3 linked regions of the Canis lupus familiaris genome follow. The protein of the gene in region 1 interacts with the protein of each later gene in a biochemical or structural test. Links are inferred from orthologs where the notes say so. Each region holds a gene or a part of one and is shown on either strand. Other genes may lie near its edges.

Region 1 (7,720 bases):
GCCTTCAGCCCAAGGCATGATCCTGGAGTCTCGGGATCAGAGTCCCACATCAGGCTCACTGCATGGAGCCTGCTTCTCCCTCTGCCTGTGTCTCTGCCTCTCTCTCTCTCTCTCTCTGTCTCCCATGAATAAATAAATAAAATCTTAAAAAAAAAAAAAAAAAAAAAAGATGACAGGAACCCTCCTGAAATCCAAGTTCCTCGAGACCAGTGAAAGGCCAACCTCACAAACAGGCCTTTCTAAGACAGCAGTCCCATGCCTAAAATGTTAACTCTTTTTTGCACAAATTTATATAAGATTGTAGAACACGATATATAACCAAAAAAAAAAAAAAAAAAAGAACACGATATATAATTCTACATGTTGTTTAAGGACACATGTATATAAAGACATACAAATATACACAGAAAAACAAACACCAAATCTAGAGTTGTAATTACATTTGAGGAAAAGGAGAAAAGACCGAGGCAGGGTTACACAAGACCTTTCAACTGCATCTCTAAATGTTTGACTCCTTAAGCTGGTTAATGGGCAAAAATGTATTTTGTTGTGCAAAAGTTTGTTTCCACATTCAAGGTACTATATTAAGCCCTTTATACAAATTAATTTGTTTAAATACACTTAGAGGTCAATGTGAGGCAGCAGAGATCTGTGCCCTCAACCAGTTGTCAGTCTACTGAGGGATGATGAGAGAGAAGCATAGTCTAAAACCAATTTAAGTACTGGATCTGAATGCTACTAAGATAATAAAGCAGGGTGATGTCATTAAGGAAGGGCTGCTTTAACTAGAGTGATCTGGGAAGGCTTGAGGGGGACTTTTGAGTAGAACCGTAAGTAGGGACAATGAGACAGCCATGCAATTGTCTAAAGACAGCACATTCCAGGCAGAGGGAACAGCAAATGCAAAACCCTGGGCAGGAATCAGCTTGGTGTGTTAAAGACAGTAAATAAGGCCAGGAAGGCTGGAGAGTGGTGACAAGGGGAAGACTGGTAGATGAGGCCTGAGAGGTCAGCTGAGGTCACCATGCAGGGCCTCCTAAGCCACAGTAAAGATCTTAGGTTTCATTCTAAGTATGATAAGCCTTTGAAGGTTTTAAGCAGGGTAATGACATGATCTGGTTTACAATAGAAGATTATTCAGCCAGCTGTATGGAGAACTCATTACAGGCAGAGAGCCATTTTCTTCATCAGCACCCAAAGTGCTTGTGGCTGATGAGCTTCTCAGGGGGTACAAAAAGGTTGGGGAGGGGTGCATGGGGGGGGATTCCACAACGCAGAAAGAAAACCACAAAGTTGGAACGAATAAGTATTTAATTAAATACTTAGAAAATTACATCATGGCAACTTCATTAAATTTAGTATTCACATAAACAGTTGAATTACATTTGGAAATAACTTGAAAATTAGATTTTTTCAGTCACAAAAACTCACAAGTATGCCCAACGGCTGCCAAGAAATCATAGCTAATCATAAACGGGGATCTTCCTAAAGCCAAATCACCTCAAAGGAAAAACTGTCAATATTTTTAACCACAAAACATTTTTTTAAACTTAATGTGAAATGTAGATATCCTCCCTCCACCCAAAAAAGTGCCTAGCATCATGAGGCTTTATGACTATACCACCACCACAGAGGTGGCCAGGTAAGAAATGCAAGTGGCTTGAATTGGTGCTGTTCAGGCCTACACTCTAAGACAGAACTGGGGCCAGGGGACCCTTGCAAAGGCTTCTCTGAGAAAAGCACATGTGAACAGGTAGATCTGAATGACAAGAAGGCACCAGCCATGCCAAGAGCAGGGAGAAGAGGTTCTGGTAGGGGTTCCGCACTGGAAATGCCAGGTCAGATTTGTAAGGAACCAAAAGACAGTTTGGCTGAACTGAAGTGGGAGGCAGGGGGAGGAGTGGGCAGTAAGAAACATACCACGTAGAGTCTGCAAGACAATACTGACAGTATTCCCATCCAAAGAATAGAAAACTCATAAACTCACATTTAAGAGTGATCCAATTTGTTTCAGTCCTACACTCTCCAGGAATACGGCAGCCACTTGCCACAGGGGCTTATGAACACCTGCATGCAGATGGTGCCACTGCAGCACAGAACTTGCCCCCTCACTGAATTTTTTTTTTTTTAAGACTTATTTGAGAGACACAGAGAGTAAGAAAGAGAAAGAGCGAGCACGAATGGGATGAGAGTAGAGGGAGAAGCAAACTCCCGCTGAGCAGGGAACCTGATGCAGGACTCGATCCTGGAACTCCAGGATCATGACCTGAGTTGAAGGCAGATGCTTAACCGACTGAGCCACCCAGGCACACCCCCCCCCCCCCCCCCGCCCACTGAATTCTAACTGATTAACGTTTACACTGAAAACCCTGACATGTAGTCCAGCTCCTGGAAAACTTGTAAGCATGTTGGAAACAGACAGCGTGGGCCTGTGGATCTACATTTTCAACTGCCAATTTTATGAAAACTAAAGCCAGACTGATTATTTCAGACGAAAATGCAGCTGCACAGAGCACCTGGGTGGCTCAGTGGCTGATCATCTGCCTTTGGCTCAGGTCATGATCCCAGGTCCAGGCATAGCATCCCCCTATTGGGCTCCCCACAGGGAGCCTGCTTCTCCCTCTGCCTGTGTCTCTGCCTCTCACGAATAAATAAATACAAATCTTAAAAAAAAAAAAAAAAAAAAAGTTTTTTAAACAAGAAAGAAAATGTGGCTGCAACGGAAAACCCACGGGATTTCGAAGACTTGGTACTTAGTAAAAGAATGGAAGAAAGCTCATTTGTATTTTTTATACCTGTATGTGGGCATAAGATCTTGACTATCCTGGGTTAAAGATAAAACATTAATTTCACCGTTGTGGTGTTTTTTTTTTGTTTGTTTGTTTTTTGTTTTTACTTTTTCTTAAACGTGCTCGCTAGAAAAATGTGAAGCGAGAAGTGTGGCTCGGGTCAACTTTCCACGGGTCGCGGGTGGAGGCAGAGGCTCCGGGGTCTCCCAGGCCGGGCGCGACGGCAGTCAGACCCTGACGAGGGGTGCAGACAAGTTTCTGGTTGTATTATGCAGTCACGAGCCAAGTCAGGGAGTTTTCAACGGCCCCGTTCACCGGGGCGGGGCGCCTGTGGCCCCGGGAGTTGAGTGGCAGAGGCCGGACTCCCAAGTCCTCCTCCTTACTGCGCCGTCCACCTGAAACCTCCCAGTGGCCCTCGAGGAGGCGAGAGCGGGATTCGAACCGGGCCCGACTCCCGGGGCCACGGTCCCAGAGTGCCGCGTGACCGCCGCTCCGTCTCCCCTCAGGGGTGCGACCAACGTTCACAACGGATTCCCCCGCCGCTGGGCCTGAGGGGCCGGGAGTCCCTCAGGGAAGGTCCCGGCAACGCTCACCTGCGAACGGACGCCAGGGCGACAAACGCTCCTCCTTCCCTCTCTCTCTCTCTCTCCACACGCGGCTCAAGCACGCCGGCAGCCGACTTCCGCTTCTGGGCGGCGAATCCCCAGCTAAGTATTCCTCTCTTCCCGCCCCACGACCAACCCAGCCAATCACGTCGCAGAGAATCTGCATCCGCCCTGCCAGACGCCGGCCTGCCAATCACCACGAGAGCCAGCGCCGCCCTTCCCGCCCTCTTAAGCGGGCGCCGCGCGCCACCGCTAGGCGGTTGGCGGAGCTGCCCTCCGCCGGGCTGCGTCCCCCGGAAGGGCGGGGCGAAGCGCGCACCACGCCGGTGCGGGAACCTTTGGGATTGGCCGAGAGGAGACTCGCGCTCTGCCTCCGTCTACCCCCGCCCCCAGACATCCGAGTCGGAGACGCTGGGGATTGGTTCCCGCTGGACACCCAAAAAAGCCAAGAAATGATTCCGCCTCCCTTGAGCACCCCGGCGAGGGAGCCCCACGGATTGGCCCGAGGAGTCTCGGCGCGCGCCGACCCGCGCTCCACGATTGGCTGAGGGTGTGCTCGCGCCGTCGGCGAGCGCTGACGGTGATTGGCCGGAGGGTGGGGCCGGCTATTTGAAGGAGGCGCGCGGAGCGAAGGCGCACTTCAGTCGGCGGACAGAAGAGGCGGGAGCGGTAGGGAGTAACGCTACCCCGCTGACCGCAGAGGACTCAGGCGCGGGCTCGGCCCCAGCTGTGGCCTCTGCCGCGGCCCGGCGAGGCGATGGCCAAGGTTTCTGTGCTGAACGTGGCGGTGCTGGAGAATCCGAGCCCTTTCCACAGCCCCTTCCGGTTCGAGATCAGCTTCGAGTGCAATGAGGCCCTGGCGGACGGTGAGGCTGGGCCGGTGTGGAGATACCCCTCCCCCACCCCTCCCCACCTTCCCAGACTTCCCACGAGAAACGAGCCCCCCCCATTCCCCTCCTCCCCTCCCCTTCAGCCCCAGCCTCCTTGAGAGACTGCCCCTGACACCCCTGGCCAAGCCGCCCCCGCCCCACGGTTACTCCCATTTCTCCCGCGGAGACCTCCTCATCCCCCCTCCCCCTTCCTGTGGAGCTTCTTTGACCTGCGGAGACCTCCAGTCACCCAGACTGACCCTCACAGTTATCCTTATGAGATCCCTTTCCCTCGTGGCAAGACCTTACTCGTCCCCATCTCCCCATTTGTCTCTCCGTACAGCCGGTCTCCCCTCCCTAAGCCGCATGATATTTAAAACAACCCCATCCCCACCCACTTCGGATTGTTTTCTACCCCCAAAGCACATACCCTGGACCCTGGCTTCCCACCTCCTTATCCTGGCCCCAGTTTTACCAGCTTGCGCCCACGGGGGGAAGCACGGCAGGTTTCCAGCTCCAGTCTTTCAGGATAACTTGGTCTCCCCAGTTCCCGTGCCTCCCTCCTGTCTGTGTGCTTCGATAAACACGCTCATATCTGAAGGGTGGCAACACCAGGCAAGCATCAGCCGGTTCCCACTGTCTGCCCACCAGGTTCCAGCAGATCTATTGCAGCAGTTCTTCCCACACTTTTGATGGGCTGACCCAGTCTGGGAGTTGGGGCCAGGCTGAGCCATGACGGTATCTGGCTTCAAACAATCGGCTGGGAGGTCAGAACTTTTTGTGAATCTTTTCCAAGGTGCTTTCACAGATGGACTTATTCATCTGTGCGTTATAAAGGTGGACATGGTTCTCATCTCACAGATGAGAAGACAGGAACCACAAAGAATGAAAGACCTTTCAAGTAAAGGTCTATAAAAATCGAAAATCTAAGGTTGCCCAGGGACTCTTGGCACCACTTTCAGGAGGAAGTACTCCATTAGACAGATTCTTCACTTGGTGGTTAAAGAAGAGGCAGCAGGCAGCTGGGGAGATGGGGATCTATGAGGCCATGGTGTGCTAACTAGCGCCCCTCAGTGGTAGGTGGGTGGTTTGTGGGAAAAGCCAGCCTTTTGTGTTAGTTTGGGGTTGATAAAATTTGAGATGTGTGTGCTTTTGGCCTGGGCCAATAGATCAGTCTCTCAGCTTCTCTCCTTTTTAAATTAAGGAATCTACTTGTGACTAACTATAGAATAAGCCCAGTTAAATCCTTTCTGGAACAAGCCAGGGTGTAAATAAATAATTAAAGTGTAGAATGACACTGTGGAATAAGAATTTAATTTTAAAGACAGGAGATGTAAGGAGCTAATAGGTTAAGGGATTCACAGTTCCCAGAAGGCAGGATATCAGGTTTCAAACAGCCTGTTTGTGCTCCTTGCATTTAAAAAGGGTTGCATAGTCATTATCTAGTACTTCTATTCCTAGGAAAACCCCTGCCCTATTACTTTACTAATCTGTTTATAGACTCAGAGCAGGAAAGTCAAAAGTCAACCTGCTGGTCATTATTTTTTAATAGAGAGAAATGGGCTGACTTCTCTGAGGTCACACAGCCTATCTGTAGAAGTAATGACACTAGAGTTTGTCTCTGAGTTGAGTCCAGAATTCTCTACCTTTGCTATTATAACCTGGGAAAAAAAAGAATTCATCCCTTATTTTATTTTATTTTACTTTAAGATTTTTTGTTTATTCGTGAGAGACACAGAGAGAGACAGAGGGAAAAGCAGGCTTCCTGTGGGGAGCCTGATGTGGAACTTGATCCCAGGACCCCAGGATCACAACCTGAGCCAAAGGCAGATGCTCAACCACTGAGCCATTCAGGTGTCCCTTCATCCCTTATTTTAGAAGTGGAGCATAAATAAAACTGACCAAATAATTGATTTCCACGTTGGGACGCTCTCAAAAGAAAATGAAGGGAGTGCTACTATTAATTACACCCAGACAATAAAGCTTTTGCTCAGAGAAATGGAAGTTGGAAAGCAAACTCTGGCCTGGAAATCCAGACTCTGGTTCTACCCCTAGGGCTGTCCATGACTTTGACCTGCCAACTTGCTTTCTGCCTATTCCTGGCCTTCTTCCCATGGAACAGAGAGAATCCGTTTCCTGCCTCCCAAAGAGATGGAGGGGGCCTGGCTTTAGAAGTCTCTCAGATTCTGGAGAAATCTCAGTCTCGTTACCTTGACGCTAGCAACTGAAGCTCTGACAAAAGACCCAACCCCCAATCAGTGACTGATTCTATTTCCCAAGGGGTTCTTTTTTCTCCTCAGCATCTAGAAATAGATGCTTCCTAGGCATGGGTCCACATTTAATACATTAGATGTGTTTTTCCTCTCTTCCATTGAGAAATTCAACAGCCACTGTTTGAATAAGTCATGAAACCAGATGTTCTGACCCACAGCTAACACCGTGGGCAGGCCAAGATTCATCTATATCATCTGAACACTGGCAAAGTGATAAATAGAAAAAAGCCTACTAGATAGTTTTTGTGTTGGTTTGTTTGTTTTAAGGCAGGAAACATTCTCCAGCTACTTCAATGAAAATGAACTTTTACATGCCTTCGATCAGGTTGTTAGTTTTGGTTTTGTTTTCGTACATAGTGGAAGAACATGTTGTTGACTGTTCCATTGCAAAGTTAGGGCCTAAAGACAAAATTGAATATTGTCAAGTTACCCTTGAAATTGCCTAAAAAGTTAGGCACACCGTGTTATGCATGTACAATCGCGTCCTGTATTCAGAAGGAATGAGTTTGTGCTGTACTCGTGATGGACATCCGTGGTTATATTTTAAAAATGGAGCCACTTAAGTATGCTTCTACTAAAAACGCTTCAGCAAGTTTAAGGCAATCCAGTTTTTAGGTCCTTATTTTCAAGCATCTGCTGTTTTCCATAGATGACTGTATCAGCTCCCCTATCCATTGAGTCAATATTTCTCTGTGGCCCTCGGTCAATTCTCTGGTTTCTTTTCGGCCTCTCTTGAGGGAGCCATTGCAGACCATTTGGCCGCCGGCGCAGTGCGCTTTCTCCTCCTGGTGGCACCCACACCACACCAGTCTTTGCCAGTGGTATCGAACATCCACTGCCCGTGGCCAACGCAGGGCCTGCTCTACTTTGGTGCCCTTTTTATCTACCTCCCCCCCCCCCTTGCTGCCCCAGCACATTAGCTAAATGCACACATATAGGACTCCACTGGTGGCAGAGGGAAGGCCAGGAGGAAAGCTACCAAAATAGAGAACTGTGTTAGAAAGGCAAGGACAGAGCCAGCTTGATTTTTGTTCGCCCAGAAACATGTTTTATCTAGTCATGTCACTCCTTGTAACAAAGATAAATCAGTAAACTTAACTGGTTCCTGCAAATAATAAGAGACTAGAATTGAACCCCGGTGAGCCCATGGGTCATTGTATGGCCCAGACCTGCTAACTAGGGTC
Region 2 (6,218 bases), on another chromosome or scaffold:
GCAAACTTGATGGGTTCAGGCCCAGCAATCTTTCTTACTGGATCTTGTGATCTCTCTGTAAACCACATTTTTTGATTCCCCTCTTACATGCCAGGCATTTTATTATACCCTATTTCTACTCCTTACAACCATGCAAGGAATCATCCCTGAAGCTTGCAGAGGTAGGATCTGAACCAGACCTACTTCTAGAGCCCAGGTTCTTAACCTCCAGGTAATTCTGCCTTAAGAAATTAAAACAGAACAGCTAATTTTAGGAAGCAGAGACTCCCCCATACCTCAACTAGTATGTGTACCATGTCTCTCCACTTACCCCAGGGCTGATTTTAATTATAGACAGAGCAAGCTTGGGCAAGCAGAATGGTGAGTAAGTGGGGGTGGGGGTAGAGATTCTCAGAAAGCAAAACTCACCAAGGTGGGGGTCAAGCTAGTTGTAAACTTTGCCTTCTCAGAAGCGAGGAGCTGGATTCAATGCTTACTTCTAGCTCTAGGATTCTACAAATGACTATGTTTAAAGAATATTATTTTCTAAATTAAGAAACACAAGAGCTCCTTGCCTGCTTATCTTCTCAGCTGAAGGAAAACCTATCCTCAGTGCTAGAGGAAGGAGGGCCACAAATCCTCTAAGGCAGTTAGCCGGTGTGTCTGGGTCAGCCACAAAAGTGGGGTATGCTTGGCTCTCAAGGGCAAGTTTCATGTAGAGCTGCCCCATCTTCTGTTGGGGAAGTCGGAGCCCAATTCCCTCCCATCAAAGACCTGTTTTCCTTCCCTTCTTGGGGCCCAGAGCCTTCACCCCTGGATTGTGTGCTAACAGCTAGGACTTCCCTGTCCTATTCACTGCTGTCTTCCCACCAACAAGCTTTCGTTACTGGCACAGTGGAACTACAAAAGGTGTTGTAGGAATCAACACATTGCCAACATGCCTGCAAAGTCCACTGGGACTCAGCTGCAGGATTTCCCTACCTACTCACCCCCCTGGATGCTAAGAACCCTGTTTAAAGCTGAAGAACTAGAGTAAAATCAAGAGGCTGGGAGATTCACTTCTTAAAACTTATTTTAATATCCTTCCCACCCACCCCCACCCCCCAAGTTGGGAAAGTCCAAAACAGTCTGGCTGGGTTTAATTACAAATTAATACATTTTTTTTTGTCATTGTTGAAAGTAAATCAATTGTGGCAATAAGGGATTATCCTTGGAAAAAGTGAAACCCATATTAACAAAATGTCATGGAAGAACCCCACTTAGTGATTTCATTGGCTACTGAAAAATCTAGAAAAAGTCCACATTCTGCATGTTCTCTGGGGCTAGTCCATGTAGTGGAAAGAGGCCTTGCCCAGACTCAAGCAAGCCTAGTGAGCTCCAACCAGGCCCTAGACCCAAGGGAATTGAGGAGAGAGGGCATACCTTCTTCAGGACGAGGGCAGAAAAGGTAGATCAACAAATAAAGTCCTGTAGCTCCACTTACAAGCCCATGGGGAGAAGGAGGCAGGAAGTTAGAGGGAAGGCTTAAAGATGCAGCATTCTTTCAACCTTAAAAAAAGGTTTTTTGTTTTGTTTTGTTTTTAAAAAAGGTCTTGCAAGATCAATGACTGAGAAGAAAAAAACAAGGAATAGAACTTAATACTCTTGAGTTAGTCTCGACTCATCCATCTCTTCACATATGCACATACCATCCTTCCAGGGCTCCGTTCAACCTCTGAGACCCACAGGGACCTCTGCTTAATAGCTTGAAAGTCATGGTTAAAAAAAGGTACTCCCTCCCACACATGTATATCAAGTATGTAACAAGTGTATAAACACAATAAAATGGAAATCTGGCGAAAAAATTATCTGTGATAACTTGGAAAGCTGGGGGTACCAAGGGCTCCGGGACTGACTTCCTTCCATTCAGAGTTCTGTAAGATAGTCCCTACCTGGCATAATCTCTCCAACTGGGATCACTCCATCCTCCCCTGAGATCACCTGGCCTTGAGGGGACTGGGGCAGGGCAGAGCCACAAAACCAACACAGGTGCCAGTGAAAGTGTCACCAGTGACATTTTTCACACTTGAAAGAAGGCTAGAATTATTTGAGAGCTCTCTACCCTTCCTGACTTCCCTCCCCCTGCCCAGGGAACTTGCATGCCTGAATGCTGCATCTTTAAATATTTCTGGCTGAGCCCTCTTGCCACATATGTCAGTAACATTCCAAGCTGGCTACCACATGCTCAGGCTCTGGTCTCCTCCCCTCTCTACTGTTGAGTGCTCTGCTGTTTCAAGGGCATGGTGGGGCCATGCATCTCCCATTTCAGCTCCGTCTTCAGTTGATCACACATCTCAGAAACAACCAAATGGAAAAAAAAATAATAAAACCTTAAGTTCCAAAAGAATGTTCATATTCAAAATACCTATCTCCCTGCGATTCTTTAACTCCACTTGATCATTCTATTAAAGTGAGTTAGACAAAGCGTGTGTGCATGTGCACATGCACACACAGACACACACACCAGCACACACCCACAAAATTTAGAGGGTTGGAGGTTGTTTCCTGCCAAAAGATCTAACAGAGGAAAGCTTATGAGCTGATCAAGTTTTAATATCGTGGTTAACAAGAAAGGTACACCACTTAGCAAGCACACAGAGACCGTGGGTAGGACCTCCTGATCCCTGGAGCATCTGGCTCCCTGGCCCATTTTCTGCCTACCTCTGGAACAGTTTTTCATAGTTACTACATTCAGAGAATCCAAGAGGACTGCATGGACAGATGAACCTTTATTTAAAAAAATAGCACTTCAAATAAATTAAAAGGGACAACCGTCAAGTGTTCAAATTGTGAAGAGTTGAAAACCTAGAGACTCCAAGCTGCGGGCTTCTAACCTCGTTCTTTGTCCGACGGCAAAAGCCCCACACACCTCAGTCCTCCCACTCGATGCTTTCCCTGCTGAGATGAGGGAAGCGATTGCAAACAGGAGACCAGACGGAGGAGAAAGCTGCATCTGACTGGAATGAACATTGCCACGTACTTGCTAATACGGGTTTCACTTTATGACCAAATGTATTCTTTCAAAAATAAAAAAGAGGGGGGGAGGGGAGCTGCATGTTTTTAAAAATTGAAATTATTTAGGGATAAAACACTAACTCTAGTGCCTTTAACGGGCAATAGCAACTTTTTTCCTCCGAAGTCAAACACCATCCCCAGCTGAGCCTTTGTGCTACAAGCTTTTCAGGAGATGTTACCTAAACTTTATTAAAAGAAAAGAACAAGTTTAAATATAGACACTGGACTAGCCCAGTCTGTATTTTCAAGTCCACATTCTTCATCTGAAGCACTGCATCAGGGACCCCCCTGAGTCTGCATGTTTTCAAGTTCACAGTACATGGAACCAGTTTTTCTTTTTAATTTTTTCCTCACTCAGAGCAGCCACACATAGTGGCCGTTGACGCCGGAACCTCGGGCGGGGCCTTTTCCTACGAGGCCTGGCCAGAGCTGCCCAAGGTTTCTCCTCAATGAGAATCGATGCTGTCATGCTCTATGGATGGGAAAAAAGCAAGAAAATAAAAGCACCTGGTACAGGTTTCATGAGATCCATTCGGATTCGCTATGTTCCAAACCCGCTGCTGAATGCCATTTGTCCACTTGTGTGTGCTGAACAGTTCACGGCCTAGGAGTGGGTCTCAATTTGAAGAACTATTATTGGACGCCCCTGATGTTGATGCGATAGCAGCTCCAGCAGGGCTACTCGTGGAGACCGACTTTCGGATGTGAGGCAGCAAGTAGGGGTCACAGGCCAGCTGCTGAACGTCGATTCGGTCCTCCTTTCGGTAGGCTAAGCATCGTCGAATAAACGCCTGAAAAGAAAGATTCATGAAGAAGCCTGAGGCACATAATCATGGCGCCCCTGGGGTGAACCCTGAGGCTCTGCAGCAGCTGCCAGGGCCCAGGGCCCGGAGCTGAAGTCTTCTACAGAGAAGGGGCTCCAGGCCCTTCCCAGGAGTCACTGGGCACACGCAGACAGGACCAGGCAAGGAGATGCACGGGCAGCAGCACCACTCCGTGGCCACAGACTACTTCCCCGAAAGAGGTGGCCAAGCCATTCCTGAGGGGAAACAGGGCACCACCTGACCTCTAAATATCTCTGCTCCCAAAGCACAAAGACCCACACAAAAACCACTCTTTCTGCCTTGGTCAGTTTACCCAGGCACATCTACTCTCATGGTCCTGTGTGTACAAACCATAGCCTCATGTGAACTTTCTACTTCCTAAGGAAGTGAAAACTTGTGATGACAAGCCACCACCACAGAGAGGGTGAGGAGACTGACACTAACACTGCAGTGTGTCACAGATTGGTGAATCTTATTCTTGCTTGAAAGATCATCAAGCAAATGATTAGGTGCACACACACCTAGGTAGTAAAGGAAAACCTGCATAGGACTTGTCTCCCCACGAGGACTACAGACCTGGAATCATACAGAGTTTGGTTTCATTCAGAATCCTAATTGACTACCAACATGGAAGTTTCCTTGTGCTAGGTGTGAAGGGCCCCACTGGCTCAGTATTTACAATTCTTATCACAAAGGCCCTCAAGCAGATGATCTAGCTTTTCCTATTTTTTAAGTAGAGAGTTCTGTTTAATCAGAGTCTCCTAATTATTTTAAATAAATGAACTGATTTTTAAAAATCTAAAATGTCATTATCACCTTCAGGCCATACTTTATATTTGAATGATAATAATGTTGTAATATAGGTCTATTGATTATAACCAATGTCCCACTCTGGTGCAGGATGTTGACAGTGGAGGAGGCTGTGCATGTGGAAGGACAGGGAATACATGGAAACTCTTTACTTTGTTCAGTGTTGCTGTGAATCTAAAACTGCTCTAAAAAATACAGTCTAAAAATATAGTCTAAAAAATCCATTAAAAATATAAACATGAGATGTAATGATTTTTCTTTTTCCCATGTTTAATTAATAAAGGACAAAAGTATAGCAACAATCCTGGTTTTCCCAAACCAAAAACACCTATAGGTAGCTGCTTGATTCAAGTCACAGAAATAAGCTTCATGATCCTTGGCCTTAAAAAATGAATGCTTTCTGGGATGCCTGGGTGGCTCAGTGGTTAAGCGTCTTCCTGCCTTTGGCTCAGGGTGTGATCCTGGGATCCAGGATTGAGTCCCACATTAGGGTCCTTGTGGGGAGCCCACTTTTCCCTCTGCCTGTGTCTCTGTCCCTCTCTTTCTGTGCCTCTCATGAATAAATCAATAAAATCTTAAAAAAAAAAAAAGAATGCTTCCTAGTGAGATGTGAAAGGAGAGTTAAATGAATTACCTTAGGTTGGACAAGATAGTTACTGGTCAAATAATTCCATCTTGCATTTTTTCTCTACACAGGCCTTTGAAACGGCAATCAGATCACATAGCTGTCCTGAGTAACACCTTCAAGTATTTCCATCTCAGTTTACCATCTGCCCTGCTACCTCTCCTACCCACCACCCTTCCCTCCGCTCCACCAGCTCTGTGGATCTGCTAAGCTTGCACTTGCATCTCAGCTTCACACATTTCTCTGGCTTAGAACATTCTCCCAAACCTACACATGGCTTATACCTTTCACATCATTCAAGACTGCTCAACATATCACTTCACTGAAGCCTTCCCTGACCAAGCCAGCAAAAAATGAATTCCCGCCCCTCCATATCCTTTCTTGCATTTATTTTTCACCATCTAAGATGGATCTGTTTATACTGATAATCCATCCACTATTACCCAGAGAACTAATACAGAAAGCAAAGCAGTCGTTTCCTGCTGGCCAGTGGGTTACAGCTTACCTTTGCTTCTGGTGTTACTACTGGCTTTGGCGGGAACTGCACTTCAGTAGCTTTAAGAATCGTATTTTCTTGTAGAATATCTTGCTGGGACTGGTTGTGGCCAAAAGGCTATCATACAAAAACAAAACAGAGGTGGGCCTCTTGTTAAGATGAAAGAGAACACAATTCAAAACCACGGAGAAGGGAAAGAAGACATGCCTCAGTGAGAACTGCTAGAAAGAACTTCGAAGATGGTCTCCTCTAACTCTTGCTTTTTTCAGGTGAGGGGTGGAAAGGTTCAGAATTGAAGTAACATATTCACGGTGCAACATCAAGATTAAGGCAGAGCTGGGACTAGAAGCAGCATCGGCCATGTCATAACACCTCTGTTCAGCTTTGCTTATAGCCAAGAACATTGCAGCAGGAACCAGCAACCTCTTCT
Region 3 (7,571 bases), on another chromosome or scaffold:
CTCCACTAAGTCCTGTGCATTCAATTTCTAATTTTCCTTTTCTCCTATTTTTCTTCTTTTTATTCTGATAAAATTTGCTCAATATCTTTTCCTAACCCTGTATTGAACTTTCAATTCCTGTCGTTAAATCTTTAGGACACTCTTCCTTCCTATCCTTTTTTTTAAAATTTTTTATTTATTTATGATAGTCACAGAGAGAGAAAGAGAGAGAGGCAGAGACACAGGCAGGCTCCATGCACCGGGAGCCCAATGTGGGATTCCATCCCGGGTCTCCAGGATCGCGCCCTGGGCCAAAGGCAGGCGCCAAACCGCTGCGCCACCCAGGGATCCCACCTTCCTATCCTTTAATAATGTTTTATTAGAACATATTCTGACTTCAGATTATTCCAGAGTATTCACACTTAGAAAAGGAAACTAATAGTAAAGTGCATTCAGAGAAATCTTTGTTTTCGCAGTCAGATTAAGAGTTAGCCCCTTTATATTAATTTTCACTATAAAAAAGTTCTCAGGAAACCAAATACCCGTGGTCCCTTTAGAGTGATGCAGTTGTGCTAAAATCAGTGCTTGAGGCCCAAAGTAAAGTTCATTGATTGTTGAAACATCTAGCTGGAATCACTTGCAGTAGAACTTGGTGCAAATCTCTGAGGTCTCCTCCAGCAAACACTTTCCTTCCGTACTTCTTTTTTGAAAACTTGACAACTTTTTTTTTTTTTTTTAATTTTTGATCCTCACTTTGGGCCACCATGTGGCTCCCCAGGCAGGCACTGACATCAAGCCCCCCAGATTTTCACCAAGAAAGCCAACTCCTTCATGTATATTTAGTATCTAAACCTGTGTCTTTTTTTTTTATTATTTTTTTTTAATCTATAGTTTAGAATCCTGGCACTCAAAGGAGATGGTCAGAGGAGTCATCTGAGAATCAACAGCGTTTGTCAGAAATGTGGAGACACCTGGTGGTTATCAGAGACATTGAACCCTTGGTTCCAGACCAGACTGATTATCACTCACCTGGGATCTTGAGAAAATGCAGCCTCCCTACCAGGAGCGCCTCCTGCTGGATACTCTGAATCAGTGGGCCTATGTAGGGCCAGGAATCTGTACTTTTAAAACAGCCAGATTATCTACATTAGTCATTCCCAGTCCAAAGTCTTAGCCATGATTTAAGAGAGAAGATCTAAAAGCTACGTATCTGGATCACATTATCTTAGCTTCCTTGTAGAAGTCAGGCTTAAGGAGACTCCAGTCATTCCCTTCAATATGAGACATCCATTTACAGACAACTTCTATACCTTTCATAAAATTGGCTAAGAGCATCAACCAGCATTTATATAAGAATCCATGTCATTCTTTTTCCTAAAAAAAAAAAAAAAAAAAAAAAAAAAAAGAAGAGCTGGTTCCTCAGATGAGCCTAAATGTTCCTTTTATCAAGTAAAAGCTATGCATCCCAAGGTATTTGTTTCCTGGCCTTCCGAGAAGCTCACAGATAAATTGTCCCATTTGGAAAATTATCCCACTTCTAAAATCCTGTTGCATCTAGTTCTGCCTTCTGATTTACAACCTTACTTGAAAATGTTAAATTGTGTTTCTAACAAGTGTTTATGACCCTATCTGCTCATTGCAGTATAATGTAAGCAATCCAGGTATAGAATGACCCCATAGCATGAACTTTCCAAAACGTTCTAAAAGCCAGTATATATAAGAAACAAAATTCTCAATTTTTGTTTGCAAAAGGAAGAATAAACCTGGTTAAATTCAAGGTCAGTGATGCCCAGGGAGGGGGGCGGAAGGGGAGGGAGGGAGGGAGAAGAGGGGAGAGGTGGGAAGTGGGAGAGCCACCAGGGAGGCTGGCAGGCTCTCTTCTTCAAGGTTGCACAGAGCAGCACTTGTTTTACAAAGTCCCTTGGTCTTGAAGCCCCAGAAACCTGCTGTTAGCACAAGAAGAGAGTCCATCTGTCATTTTGTCTTAACCAAGCTCTCAGATTAACATATACTGGATTCCAGTTAATTTAGAATGAGAAAATTGCCTTTGAGACACATATATCCATTGGACCTGCTCATTCACATCTGAATGCTTCTGGGCTTTTGCCCCCATCCACCCTTTCCCATCACGGATCCCACTGCTCCCCCTTTGTGCCTCTGTTGTCAATTGTGAGTTTCTTTAGCTTAAATTCCCATTTCCCAGAGCTGCTCATCCAAAACTCTATTACCCGAAGCCCCTTAAAAAAAAAAAAAAAGATTTTATTTATTCATGAGAAACACAGAGAGGCAGAGACATAAGCAGAGGGAGAAGCAGGCTTCTTGTGGGAAATCTGATGCGGGACTTGATTCCAGGACCCTGGGATCACGACCTGAGCCGAAGGCAGACACTCAACCACTGAGCCACCCAGATACCCCCCAAGCCCATTTTAAATGCCCTCTTCTCTTCAAACTTGCCTTGAGCCTTCAAATCCAAAATAAGCGCGCCCTCGGAACTGTAGAGAGCACGTTGTTCCTTCCACACTCCCTTTTTCCCTCCACACTTTTTTTTTTAAAGTTACATTTAAAAAATGTACCTGACTACAGGAGGCCCGTAAACACTCTCTGTGTTTTACTGATGCTTGGAACTCCAGAGAGGGCGACGGGGCCTGATGCAGGTCACAGACACTCGCTGTGAAAGAGCACCTGTGACAGAAGGGATGGTCATGGGCGGGTCTCAGAGTTCCAGCCTCCCCACCTGGGTGATAGGACCACTCTTCCTTCTACTGGACTGTGAACTCCCGGAGGGTAAGTCTCACTGCATATCCAGCACCGGAGGGCAGCCCGGGTGGCTCAGCGGTTTAGCACCTGCCTTTGGCCCAGGGCGTGATCCTGGGGACCCAGGATCGAGTCCCACATCAGGCATCCTTGCAGGGAGACTGCTTCTCCTTCTCCCTCTGCCTGTGTCCTCTGTGTGTGTGTGTGTGTGTGTGTGTGTGTGTGTGTGTGTGTGTCTCATCCTGAATGAATAAAAAAAAAAATCTTTAAAAAAAAACCCTATTAAAAAAAAATAATAATAAATTAAAAAAAACCCTATTATCCAGCACCGGAATAGGGTCCAGCATCCTGCAGATGCCCAGTAAATGTCTGCTGAAAGAACTCATGGAGAAGGGAAGAAATGATTGAATGAATGGGTCGATGAACTCATCCACTCCTCCCCGCGAGGCCTCGGTCGTGCACGTAATTATATCGGCGGGAGTCGGCGGGGATTCCGAGCACCCGCGGGCCGGGGCAGGGGGCGGAGCGCCGAGTGACCCCGCCCACAAGGGGGCGGGGCGGGAGGATAGCCCCTCCCACAAAGGGGCGGGCCCCGCGGAAGTCCCGCCCACGAGGAGGCGGGGCCTGTGGCGCGCGGGAAGAAGCGCAAGCGGCGGCGGGAGCTGGAGGCGCAGCCGAGCGACCGCGGCCCTGCAGGTACTGCTCCCGGGCGCTGGCTCCCGCGGCCCCCGGCCTCCCGTTGGGGCCGCACGGGCGGCGAGAGGGTCTCGCTGAGGGCGGGCGGCCGGGGGCCGGGCGGAGCTGCGGGGCGGCGCGCGTTCGGGCGGCGCCGTGCGGCCTCCTCCCGGCCGGGCCCGGTCTCGGCTTCCCGAGCGCTCCGGGAGCCCCTCCCCGCGGCGGCCGCAGCCCCAGCCCCTGCCCGGGCGGCGCCTGGCTCCCCGGGAGCGCCCCGGGCCCACGGAGCGGGGCGGCCGCGCAGCAGGGCGGGGCCCGGGATTCCCTCGGCCCGGCTCCCCGGCTCCCCGGCTCCCCGGCTCAGGTGCCCTTGCGGAGGGGTTCGGGGAGAGGGCGACGCTGCCACCCGTCCCCGTCCCCGTCCCGGTCCCCGGCGCCCTGACTGCCGAGCGGGCTCCCCGCGCCTGCCCCCCGCTAACACTCCCTTCATCCCCGACGGCTTTCAGCGTTTCCTCCGCCTTCGGGGGCGGATTTGTTTCGGCCCCTTCCAGACCCGGCAGCATGAAAGTCATCACTTGCGAAATAGCCTGGCACAACAAGGAGCCGGTGTACAGCCTGGACTTCCAGCACGGCGCGGCGGGCAGGATCCACAGGCTGGCGTCGGCGGGCGTGGACACCGCCGTCAGGGTGAGCGGCCGGGGCGGGCCGGGGCGGGCCGGGGCGGGGCGGGGCGGGCCGGGGAGGCCCCGCTGAAGCGCCCTAGGGCCTCCCTTCCTGTGTGTGCTCAAAACCTGTGTCTGCAGACTCAGGCCGCCCTGCCCCCGAGCCCAGGCTGCAGACCGGTTCTCAGGCCCGCGACTGAACCGTGAGGGCACAAGAAAGCTTTATTCCTTGGCCAGTGCTTCCTAGATGGATACACTGCATGCTCCTTATTTGATTATTATTATTATTTTTTAAGATTTTATTTAATTATTCATGAGAGAGGGAGAGAGGGAGAGGGAGGCTCCATGCAAGGAGCCCGACGTGGGACTCGATCCTGGGACTCCAGGGTCAGGCCCTGGGCTCAAGGCAGCGCTAAACCGCTGAGCCACCCGGGCTGCCCTATTTTTATTTTTATTTTTATTTTTTTAAAGATTTTATGTATTTATTCATGAGAGACGCAGAGAGAGAGGGAGAAGCAGGCTGGGATCACAACCTGAGCCAAAGGCAGGTGCTCAACCAACTGAGCCACCCAGGTGCCTCCGATGCAGATCGTTTTAGAATCCAGAGCCAGGGATCCCCCGGGTGGCGCAGCGGTTTAGCGCCTGCCTTTGGCCCAGGGCGCGATCCTGGAGACCCGGGATCGAATCCCACATCGGGCTCCCGGTGCATGGAGCCTGCTTCTCCCTCTGCCTATGTGTCTGCCTCTCTCTCTCTCTGTGTGACTATAATAAATAAATAAATAAATAAATTTTGTATATATATATAAAAAAAAAAATCCTGAGCCAGTTCCTAGTGGGAACACTTGGCCCCAGAAAGAGGTAGGAGGGAGGGTAGCAAGTCATGGGACTGTCGACATATCAGATGGAAATTCCATTTTACGTGTATCCAAAGAAAAGCTATTTCCTTCCCAAAAACTAGCCTGGTATTGTTTTGGTAAGTGTTTATAGTGTTTAACAGTGTGGTAGGTATTCACTCTGTGTGTCTCGGAATGAACGTTTTGGTTATCGACAGATCTGGAAGGTGGAAAAAGGACCCGATGGAAAGGCCATTGTTGAATTTTTGTCCAACCTTGCTCGCCATACCAAAGCTGTCAATGTCGTGCGTTTTTCTCCAAATGGGGAAATTTTAGCATCAGGAGGAGATGGTGAGTATTAGTATTATCCTTCACAATTCCTTAGAAACCAGATACCGTTCTGTCTCGTGTTAAATAGTGAGATCTGAGCTAGGTACGCTTTTTGATTTTTGAGGTCACTTGACCTCTCGATCCGTCATTTATTTATTTATTATTTTTAAAAAATTTTTTGAGAGAGAGAGAGGGAGTTGATGAGCAGGGGGGAGGGGTAGAAGAAGAAGCAAGCTTCCGGATGATGTCGGACTGGATCCCAGGACTCTGGGGTCATGACCTGAGCTGAAAGCAGACACTTAACAGACTAAGCTATCCAGGCACCCTCAATCCGTCATTTAGATAGTTCAGTAAAATAGCGTTCTGAGGAGCTTGAGGGGATGGAGGACCAAAAGCTTAACCTGAGCAGAGCTATTTATAAATGGCCGCTCCTCCACCCCACTCGTAGGGACCAGTAGGAAGGTGCTTACCATTTTGTCAAAGTCCCAATGCAGCCCTCCTGGCCTTGTTTGATTGCTGGTTTAGTATCCAAGTGATCATAGTCTTTCCCATGTCTTTGTGTGATTAATTTCTTTACAGATTTTACTTATTTATTCATGAGAGACACAGAGTCTAGAGTATTGTCTAGAGAGAGAGAGAGAAAGAGAGAGGCAGGGACACAGGCAGAGGGAGAAGCAGGCTCCATGCAGGGAGCCTGATGTGGGACTCGATCCTGGGACCCCAGGATCACAGCCTGGCCTGAAGGCAGGGGCTAAACTGCTGAGCCACCCAGGGATCCCCTCTGTGTAATTAATTAATTCACCTGACGGAGTATTATCTGAATGGCCCTCTAATTTATGTTTGCTTGGTGGAAGTAGAATGATTCATATTTTCTGCTTGTGTTTAAATGGCATTAAACTACTACAAAAAAAAGTAAATCTTTTTTACTGTGTTTTGACACCGAAACAGTCTAGAAGTTAGTACAAAATAAAACACATCACAGGTTTTTGTTTGCAGAAGGAAGAAAGAGATCTGGTTAAGTCCAGTGCCACAATGTCCAGAGTGTGTGGCACAGAGAGATGGAAGGTGGGGAGCGTCACTGGGGGAGGCTGGCAGGCTATCTTCTGTGAGGTTGCACAGGGGAGCTCTCGTTTTGCCAAGTCCTTTGGCCCTAGAGGGTCAGAAACCTGCTGTTAGCAGTGGAGAGTGTCCACCTGTCAATGTCGAGGCTGATCTCTTCACCCAGCTCCCAGGATTACAGCTTAGCGTGAGCACACTTGTGCCCATACAGCCAGCTCAGTCACTGTCCTGCTGGCACTCAGAGTGAAGCTGCACGGGGCTCCGACTTGTGTGGTGAGTTGGGGTCCCAGCACAGGGAGTTAGAGCCCCCAGACAATTGATGACAACAGGCTGAGATATCTGATGTGTCCGTGGGCTCACTGTGTGCTAGGCATCATGTTGTGCTTCATACATATTAACTTATCGAATACTCTAGACAGAGTAGACAATACTCTAGACTCTAGATAGTCCGTGAGGTAGGTATGCATTTTACAGATGGGGTAGCTGAGGAGTCTAGATGCTAAGGCCTGCGGACATAGCTGGGAACGATTTGCCAATCCTTGCTTGGTGGCTCTTTGTTTCCGCCTATTCAGCTGCTCCTGGGTTATGCCTTAGGATGTGTTAACATAGTCAGCTGCTCTGCAGCGGTATTTTGCTGGCCTGGGGACCCTTCTGTTTAATAGGCCTTTGTATAGCTCTGATCGGGTATCAGTTTGATTTTGGAGTTTTAGATTAGAAGGCAGATTGTCCAGATTCTTACAAGTCACTCATTGTGACCACAGTATCTGTTGGACAATGTAACTAGGGTTTGGTTTTTTTTTTTTAAGATTTTATTTATTCATTCATGAGAGAGAGAGAGAGAGAGAGAGGCAGAGACACAGGGAGAGGGAAAAGTAGGTTCCCTGCAAGGAACCCGACATGGGACTCGATCCCGGGTCTCCAGGATCACGCCCTGGACTGAAGGCGGTGCTAAACTGCTGAGCCACCCGGGCTGCCCGTAACTAGGGTTTTAACACCGTAGCAGCCCAGAAAGGAGGGAGCCTGCAAAAACCATGGCTCATCTGTAACCAAATTGCTCCGCAGATGCTGTCATTCTGTTGTGGAAGGTGAATGACAACAAGGAGCCAGAACAGGTTGCTTTCCAGGATGAGGATGAGGCTCAGCTGAATAAGGAGAATTGGACTGTTGTGAAAACCCTGAGGTAACTTGGGGAGGGGCTAGACGAGTGCTTTATCTGACATCTCTAAATGGATTCAACTACATGCATTGGGTCTTGAACTCACAAGAGTTCTTTTTTCTT

What was found.
Region 2: of the proteins of ASF1B (region 1) and TLK2, one has a biochemical effect on the other in vitro, tested with the Homo sapiens proteins (3 studies listed by BioGRID). The link is inferred for Canis lupus familiaris from reciprocal best matches to the Homo sapiens genes ASF1B and TLK2.
Region 3: the proteins of ASF1B (region 1) and CHAF1B form a complex in vitro, tested with the Homo sapiens proteins (2 studies listed by BioGRID and IntAct). The link is inferred for Canis lupus familiaris from reciprocal best matches to the Homo sapiens genes ASF1B and CHAF1B.

The regions. Positions count from the first base shown.
Region 1 is NC_049241.1:48,792,956-48,800,675, forward strand, and holds the start of ASF1B (histone chaperone ASF1B), read left to right. Parts: upstream 1-3,683; 5' UTR 3,684-4,151; coding exon 4,152-4,260; intron 4,261-7,720. UniProt on the Homo sapiens protein: Histone chaperone that facilitates histone deposition and histone exchange and removal during nucleosome assembly and disassembly. Cooperates with chromatin assembly factor 1 (CAF-1) to promote replication-dependent chromatin assembly.
Region 2 is NC_049230.1:16,118,006-16,124,223, forward strand, and holds the end of TLK2 (serine/threonine-protein kinase tousled-like 2), read right to left. Parts: intron 5,906-6,218; coding exon 5,798-5,905; intron 3,825-5,797; coding exon 3,651-3,824; 3' UTR 2,729-3,650; downstream 1-2,728. UniProt on the Homo sapiens protein: Serine/threonine-protein kinase involved in the process of chromatin assembly and probably also DNA replication, transcription, repair, and chromosome segregation. Phosphorylates the chromatin assembly factors ASF1A and ASF1B.
Region 3 is NC_049252.1:31,270,243-31,277,813, forward strand, and holds the start of CHAF1B (chromatin assembly factor 1 subunit B), read left to right. Parts: upstream 1-3,321; 5' UTR 3,322-3,429; intron 3,430-3,914; exon of another isoform or gene 3,915-3,959; 5' UTR 3,960-3,969; coding exon 3,970-4,095; intron 4,096-5,121; coding exon 5,122-5,254; intron 5,255-7,354; coding exon 7,355-7,472; intron 7,473-7,571. UniProt on the Homo sapiens protein: Acts as a component of the histone chaperone complex chromatin assembly factor 1 (CAF-1), which assembles histone octamers onto DNA during replication and repair.